Linked DNA regions of Yarrowia lipolytica. The protein of the gene in region 2 interacts with the protein of the main gene of each other region in a pairwise test. Links are inferred from orthologs where the notes say so. Each region holds a gene or a part of one and is shown on either strand. Other genes may lie near its edges. The genes, in order: YALI1_F14688g and YALI1_B07094g.

Region 1 (4,448 bases), on a different chromosome or scaffold from region 2:
ACCACCTTATCAAGAAGGCTGTGTCTGTGCGAAAGCACCTCGACAAGAACCGAAAGGACGCCGACTCCAAGTTCCGACTCATTCTCATCGAGTCTCGAATCCACCGACTTGCCCGATACTACAAGTCTGTTGGTGTTCTGCCCCCCACCTGGAAGTACGAGTCCGCCACTGCTTCCGCTCTTGTCAACTAGAGTGTTTAGTGGTTGTACTTTACATAAAAATGAAAATGCATTAGCGCCTATTTATCATCAGGACGAAATACGAGAACGTAGTTCGAGTGTTTCCGACTCTATCTACCATGCTGTAAAAGAAGTGAGAACAACGTCCGAACAACCATGAGAGGAAGTAAACATGTGAGGATACCAGAACCTCCGGTCGAGTCGACCTAAAAGAATCTCCACTACTTGTACTTTACATTCTTCAATAATTCGGTTGAATCACTATTTACTATACTATACTACATACTATACATCTCCTTCAGTCCGTGCGACAGTGCGCACTTATTGAGCCTTGGGCTTGTAGCCAATCGCCTCAAGTCGCTCCAGCAGCAGAGGATGGGATCGGTGGTACGAGTTGTACAGCCAATCGCCGTCGTAGTTGCTGAGGTTCTCCTGGTGGATGGTGATCAGACTCTTGGCCAGAGCATCGCCATAGCCAAGGTCCTTGGAGAACTGGTCGGCCTCAAACTCGTTCTTTCGAGACATGCCGTTCATCAGGAAGGTGACACCGTACTGGATGGGGCTGATGACCTGCAGATAAAGGGTGTTGAACAGGTAGGCGGCGGGTCGGTCGTTGCTGAAGAAGCCGAGAGAGGTGTAAAAAGAGTCGTTGTGAGCAAACGCCAGGAATCCAAGAGTCAGAGTCAGAATGTTTGCGTTGCCGGCAAGCAGCGTCTGCAGGATATGGTTCATCTTCCAGTGACCGAGCTCGTGGCCAAGAATGGCCTCAATCTCGTCGGTGGAGCATTGCTCGATCAGAGTGTCGTACAGGACAATCTGCTTCTTCCAAGGCAAACCGGTGAAGAAGGCATTGGAGTGAGCGGATCGGGTAGAGCCGTCAATGACATAAAGGTCGGAAAGAGGGAAGTCCAGCTTCTTGGCAAGAGCCTCGGATCGGTCCTTGAGCTCGCCGTCCTCAAGCTTTTCAAACTTGTTGAACATGGGCATGATCAGAGTAGGAACGGCGTACATAAGCACAATCTGGAGAACCACAACAAAGCCAGTAAAGTAGGGGACGAAAGACAGACCAAACTTGATCAGAATCTTCTCAAAGATGCCAATGTACAGACCCTGGATGGTAAAAGAGAGGGCCTGCTCCTTGAAGAAGTCGAGAACAAAGGTCTTGGGGGTCATCTTGTTGAAGCCGTACTTCTTCTCCAGCACAAAATTCTTGTAGTAAGAGAAAGGCAGCTCCAGCAGGGAGCTAACGAGGCCAAAGACGTTGAAAGCAAAGGCGGTGTGAACGGGGGTTGACAGGGCGAGCTTGTGGAGGGTCTTGGCACCAAAGAAGGTGGCACCGGCAAGCTTGGGGGCGATTCTCTTTGTGAAGCCCATCTTGGTGACATGGAAGATTTTGGGGATGACGTTGAAATGGATGGTGGCAAGGAAATTGACAAGGGAGTAGGTGGAGTGGACGAAGGAGAACCGCATCTTGGCCATGGAGTAGTCGTTGGATTCAGTCAGCTTCTCCTGGGAGACAATACCCTGCAGGCTGGCAGGCACCTCGGTTCGCTTGTAGACCTGGTACTGTCTGTAGTTAAGGTAAGACTCAAGCAGGTAGTCGCCAATGGCGGTGCCCACAATGATCTGTCTCCATGGGACGTTGGGGCTGTCGAGTTTTCGAAGGTGCTGGATTAGTACGGAACGGAGGAGAATGGTCAGAGTGACAACTGAGTAATTCAGATGAGGGTATAGAGCCAGCCAGTCGCACAGGTGGCATCATATAGCAGGTCGTATAGAGCCAGCTTCCAGCGACACGACCACCAATAACAATTAGTATCCGACCGCATCATACTCCACCAACTGACAACACCACTTCAACTAGCGACACAATCCCATCAGAAACGCTGGCTCAACTGTATCTCACACAACCGAAATCTTTGCAGCATTCAGGTCTGGCACTGGCAACTGATCTTGACGACTGGCTCGATTTGGCTCACATTGTGTCGTGAGGTTCGCCACGCCGCCGGCATCATGCAGTCCATCGCGGAGAGTGTCAATTTGGCGGTAGAAACGCGCCTGGGGCCTGTTGGGGCGCGTCAACGTGTGTGTGTCGTGTTTGTAGTCGGTGCAAACGCCCGTCTGGCGCAAATACTCACTTCCATCGTGTGGTTGGTGGGGAATAGAACAGCGTGTTGTGAGGATTCATGCAGGCCCAGATAGGCAATTGTGGTTTATTCAGGCAACTTTATTTTCCCATTGATTACTGGGGGGGACTTCGATAGGTCCAGCTTTTTACGATATATTTTAAAATAAAGTCCGGAAAAACGGTACTGTGGGGTGGCTCGAAAAGCGCCAGAGAGTGCTCGAACGGACGAAAATTGGTTTTGAAAAGGAGTTGGAAGGTATGTAAATCACGTGAGTAGCACCCAAATGTGATTTGTGCCTTTTTGGTTACAAAAAGGGTCACTTTTGACGGTGGCATCGTGTGTACGCTCCGACCCCCAAATCAACCCTATAATGAAGGGAAATAGGGAATGCTCATACCCCGTTGGTACGGCTCTTTCCGCACGTGGCTCTCAATGAATGGCGTGGTCCGTGATTGTTGATATTTCGAGTAATTGTGCAAGTTTTCTTGTGTCCTTGCAGTACAGACAGTCATTGCTGATGATAATATATACAAGTAATAATCAAGTAAAATAACACAAGTGGATCAGTCCTGTACTCGTGCACCACCGTAATTTCGTACATTTCTCGCAGCCGGAGTAATATTTTTCCGAAGCTGGGGAGATGTACATATGAGCTGATCGGAGGTTTGTCTATACGGTCTTGTATTGACATTCCTGTCATTATTATCACCATGGTGATGATTAATATCGAATAACCCACGTGAAGGTCGACATAATTCCACTGAGAGTCATGAAGGTGAGTATGTACATAACCACTACTTTACAGGTTGTACTGTAGCTGTAGCGTTACTCGTACACTCGTGCAATACAACCAAACACATGCACTTGTAGACGGCTCAGAGGGATTGGTGCATACTTGAGAGGACACCATCTCCAGTAAACTCCGTCGGCTGTGACGTAAGCAGACGTATCTCCGTTCCGAGGCTCTCCACCTCCGACAATGAAACCCTATCCGTCCGGTGGTGTGACTTTTGATGCTGGGGTTGCAGAGGTTGCAGGTTTGGACGTTTTAGTCGAGTGCAGAGAGTAAATGTTTGCGTCAAGTGAGCAAATATCGTGGATACGACTCCACAAGGACATAGCAAGGCGCGTCTTTGCCGAGTTTTCTGTGTGTATGGCAAATGTGTAGTGTATCGTACACTGTGTATCCTGACGGGTCGGTCTGGTTGTTTGGCGTTTCACCCTCATTCGAGATTGGAGGTACGAGTATGGTACAAGTACTAGTGCGGTACAAGTACTCGTGCGGTACAAGTACTGTACATACTCATACTGTACATCTCACTCGTAGACGATTGATTCTGGTCAAAGTGACTTGTAATACTGTACAAGTACGACAGTCGCTGTCGTGGTCTTGATACAAGACGAGTACAGTACATACCGTACAATGACTGGAGCTGTTGTCCTGAATTGTAAAAGTATCGCATCTTACTCATTCTCGCATTCCACATCCTTCTGTAACCTCACTGGTGCCCAAGTCTCTCATTACGTCACGACTTACTTGTTGTTTTCAAGCAATCCGACCCCGGAAATGGCCATCCAGACGCACCCTGGCTTGTTTGAGGTCTGCCTCACCCTCCGCGCACCACATGTACGGACGGCCTGACTTCCGCTTGTGCTTGTTCTTGCTACTTGTGCGGATACTTGTACGCCACGGTGAGGCAGCGGTGCTCCCCCGAAGTGCAGTTCCCCCGTCCGTTCCGAACAGAGAACAAGTACAAGTGGGCAGCCAGATGAGGAGGAGGGGAGAAGGAGGAGAAGGGGGAGGAGAAAGGACCTTCTTTTCACATGGCGTTGTCCACATGGTAAATAATACCGCACAATAGACGGATCACACGGCCGTTGGAGCGTCTCTTGTTTGACAGGTACAGTACAAACACTTGTCCCTCGTACGTGCCGCGGTCGTACCTGTCTCATCACCACGCCCCTCTCCATTATTATTACCACCTGACATTTTGCATAACCGCCAAAGGTTGTTCCTCCATGTCGTCAAGGTCGTCAAGGTTACTCGTATCGGAAAAATGGGCCCTTGGAGCTTCCGGTATTAGCTGATGTCGTATCGTACTCGTCCTGTAGGTGTGAGCAGATCCATGCCTGCCATGAG
Region 2 (4,146 bases):
GAGACCCGAAAGAAGGTCATGTCCTTGTCTCGGCTTCTTGGAAACAAAGCTGATGTGATCAAGGGCTTCGCGAAGCGGTGCAATGAGCAATGGCAGGTTGCACCCCGAAGTGAAATCGGCCTTTATCTGGGCGATATTCAGGACCATATCGTGACTATGGTTCAGTCTGTCAACCATTTCGAAAAGATTCTTGCTCGAGCGCATTCCAACTGTCTGGCCCAAGTCAATATCGATATGACGAAGATCAACAACGATACAAACGATGTACTGGGTAAGATTACTGTCCTCGGTACTATTGTGCTTCCGATGAACATTGTCACCGGTCTATGGGGTATGAACGTCATTGTTCCTGGACAAGAACATAAAGGCACCGTTTGGTTCTGGGGAATCACGGCATCGCTGTTTTTCTTTGCTATCGCCTCCTACTGGGGGGCCAAGAGAGTTTATGGGGTCTAAACTAACAAAAGCCGAATATAGAAAGGAGAAGACGGGGGTTTGTTTTATAGTCAATGTCAAAATTAATGTAACTGCAGGTTCAATTACTCGTTTATTATTAATATAGTCCGAAGGTATTATTTTACATATAATCTAGTTACGCTCTCGCTTGCTCCACACAATATAGGAGGGATGGACAGGAAGCGTGATCATGGAAGTGGTGTCAACAGCAGGAAGCTTTGAGCCCTCAGGGACGGTCCACTTGAAGTTTTGAATGTAGCAAGACATGAGGGTGGTGAGCTGGCAGTTGGCGAACTGCTCGCCAATGCATCGGTGTCGGCCACCTCCAAAGGGAAGGTAAGGGGAGGAGACACCCTTGGAGATGGCACCAAATCCGTAATCGACAGTCTCGCCGGCCTCAGCGTCGGTCTCGGACTCGGCCATCTTCTCTGTAGGAGTCATCCATCGACGAGGATCGAACTTCTTGGCATTGGGGAAGTATCGCTCGGCCTGCTGTGAGTAACCAGGGGAGGCCATGACAAAGTGGCCCTTGGGCACGACAAACGAGGTACCGGGGACAGGCAGATCTCGCATGACCTGTCGGAAGATAGAATGGATGGGCATATGCAGACGAAGCGTCTCCTTGATGGTATTCTGCAGCTTGGTCATAGTCAGAATGTCCTCGTATGTAGGCTGTCGGAATGATCCGTCAGCCTCACCAAGAATATCAACTTGCTCCTGGTAGAGTTCATCCTGGATAGCAGGGTCGAGACCAAGTCGGAGAAGCATCCAAGCAGAAGTTGAAGCAGAGGTATGCTGACCGCCCATTAGAACGCCGATAAGGAGGTGGGCAATTTCCTGGGGAGTCATTCGCTTACCATCCTTGTAAGTATGGTTTTTGAGCAGAGCGTCGATGAGGTCACGGTCCTGGACGTCCTTCTCCATTCGTCGTCTTTGAATGACAGACATGTATGTATCACGAATCTTTTGCTGGGCGAGGTCACGCTTTCGATAAGAGGGCAGAGGAAGGTTGGGGAAAACGAAATTAATAGGAGTGAAGCCGTTATCAAGATCGGAGTAAAGCTTGGCAAAGTCACCGTTAAGCTTGGATCGGATCTCGTCACCTAGCAGACACCGAGAGGCAGTGAAGATGGTCATCTGAGGCTGAGTGGTCATGACATCTGCCTTACCGGTCTTACCCTCAAAGTTAACTGCAAAAAAGTTGGTGACTTCCTCAACGATCTTGGGAACGTAGGATCGAAAGGCATCACGAGTGAGGGCACCCTTGCAAAACTTCTTCTGCTCCATAAGTCGAGAGTTGGGGCAGTCATAAATAACACCGGTGCCGAAAACAGGGGTGGTGAGGTGAGTGTAAGCCTCCTCCGCAGACACGTCTGCAAGCTTGGAGTTGAAGACAAACTCGTGGCCCTTAGTGCCCAGAGACACGGTCATGACACGACCAAGCATGTAGAAGGAAAACACGTCACCATAACGGTTTCGGCAGTCCTCGAAGAACTCGTAGGGATCGATACCATAGGGGATAGATGATCCAACCCAGGGGATCCAGTAGAAGGCCATAGGGGCCAGAGTCTTGTTTCGTCGAGCCAGAAGTTGTGACCCAATAACGTAGATCTCTGTGATGACAGCAAGGATGGCCAGGCCAGCAAGAATGTGCCAGCCTTCCACGGGAATTCCCATGTTGTTGAGCGTCGTGAGAATGATCATGTTGTGGTGGACTTGAGTGAGAGACCAGTTGTAGATGTTGAGAGCACCAGACAAGATGAAGTAGAAATGGAAGGATAAATTAAACTCTTCTGGAACCTCGTCCACAATCACGAAACCTTATTTTCTTCCAAACCTGCTCGCTAATGTCGTATGTATCGTGTCTAAATGTAACGGTCCAATTACATGGACGATAATGCCAGGGATAGGGGTAATAAGAAATAAAAGTAACGGGCTCGGAAAATATGTACTTGGACCACTGTGAGAATCCTGAGGATGCAGCAGTCCTGATCCAGTGGATTTTGTTATTTTATATAGGCCGATGGCTGGCTCGGGGTATCCTTCATGGATCCCCCTGCTATGATTATGCAAGGTATGACACCACCTTTCAAATGGAGAAATCATCACGTCATGGAATGTGTGTAAGGGGCCAAAGTTAGCTTCTGTACCAAGAGAGATGCAGTGGTACTATATCATGTCCACTCATCGTACCACAATAAGACAGTACAGTAATCACTGCCTGTGCACAGCCTGCAATTTAGCCTAACATGCAAAAACGATGGTGCTTGTCATACGCGGCTATGCTGGAAATTTGATATCGCACGAAGACACCACGTGGTACACGATAGCTACAACTACAAGTAGTCTTGATTTAAGAATGAGCTCGCCAACCCTTACGGGTGTACTTGCACTTGTACTTGTAGAAACAATGGTTGTAGACTTCTGATGTTATTGCGTATGTAAACTTTTTTTTCTGCATATACATTCATTTAATTATAACTTTGCTGTGAAAGAATAACCTTTGAAATGAATGTACGCTTACACGAATATTACTAATAAAACAAACACAAGGTTACTTGGGATGGAAATGCTCGCTTAGTAAATCCACAATGAACTGTATCGAGCTTGCTAACTACTGACGCGTACAAGTATCGCAACAAAGATTACGGAGACACTCCGATTATCCGATCCGAGATTTGCCAGTGCATATGATTACTAATAAAGATGATTTTTAAGGCGTACTGATCTACAAGTACAGTATGTACTTGTAGTAACTTGTTTGATTCGTCGAAGTTAAGATTTAGTACCTCTCTGTACATCTTTTAGTATCTCTATAGTATATCATACTTACCTTCCCTCCTCATTAATAAAGCCACTTATGGGATTAATTCACTTTCTACTTGTGGGTTAGTTACAATTTCAGTCGTCTTCTTCGGCACTCTACAAGTAGTACTATTGCGGCAATTAAATCTCCTAAATGCTGTACCATACTACTTGTAGACTTCAAACATCGATCAGCTGAATTGCTTACATGTACAAGTAGCTACTGTACACGGTACTTGTAACATGTTCGCAGGTGTTGTTTCCAAACACACTACAGTATCATTGACACAAGTTAAGATTCTGTTTTGGTATTAAGTCGGTGTAGTGAGCAACCTTTACTTTTCAGGGTCAACGCTCTCATGACAGATTGCCCTAACCCTTGAGAGCTTGGTTGCCATTCCATAATCTAATCCCAGTGACCTTTATTGAGACCATGGCCTATTATAAAGATGGAAAGTGTCCAGGAAGAGAATATTTGAAGCTTCGGAAGATGATGACAGACCAGGGTATTTGAAATTACCGTATCAGGATGTTGGGTCAAACCTAACCGCTGTTTCCCGATTTAACACTCCCTAATTAGGGTCTCTCTACCCACCACCCCACATCTGATACATATGGCACTTGCATAATCTAATTGTGCCACTTACACTACACTCGCCACTCACCATGAAACTCTCAACAATCGCTATTTCTGCCATTCTGGGCTCTGTGGCCCTCGCAGCTCCTGCTCAGGAGGAGCTTCGGTCTACTGCTATGCTGATTCAGCAGTCCGAGGAGTTTCAGCGTCTCAACTATGACGAAGGCCTTCTTTCCCTGCCCGACCGAGATGAATTGCGACTTGTGGAGACCGCCCCAGGTGTCAGAACCTGGATGACCGAGGCTGAG

The links.
Region 1: the proteins of YALI1_B07094g (region 2) and YALI1_F14688g interact in a protein complementation assay, tested with the Saccharomyces cerevisiae proteins (2 studies listed by BioGRID). The link is inferred for Yarrowia lipolytica from reciprocal best matches to the Saccharomyces cerevisiae genes ERG11 and STE24.

The regions. Positions count from the first base shown.
Region 1 is NC_090775.1:1,466,771-1,471,218, reverse strand, and holds YALI1_F14688g (uncharacterized protein), read right to left. Parts: upstream 2,324-4,448; coding exon 2,318-2,323; intron 1,848-2,317; coding exon 501-1,847; downstream 1-500. Other genes in the region: YALI1_F14712g (40S ribosomal protein uS15), read left to right, coding at 1-191. UniProt on the Saccharomyces cerevisiae protein: Proteolytically removes the C-terminal three residues of farnesylated A-factor mating pheromone. Also acts to cleave the N-terminal extension of the pheromone. Does not act on Ras.
Region 2 is NC_090771.1:707,460-711,605, reverse strand, and holds YALI1_B07094g (uncharacterized protein), read right to left. Parts: upstream 2,161-4,146; coding exon 589-2,160; downstream 1-588. Other genes in the region: YALI1_B07134g (uncharacterized protein), read left to right, coding at 1-456; YALI1_B07076g (uncharacterized protein), read left to right, coding at 3,928-4,146. UniProt on the Saccharomyces cerevisiae protein: Sterol 14alpha-demethylase that plays a critical role in the third module of ergosterol biosynthesis pathway, being ergosterol the major sterol component in fungal membranes that participates in a variety of functions.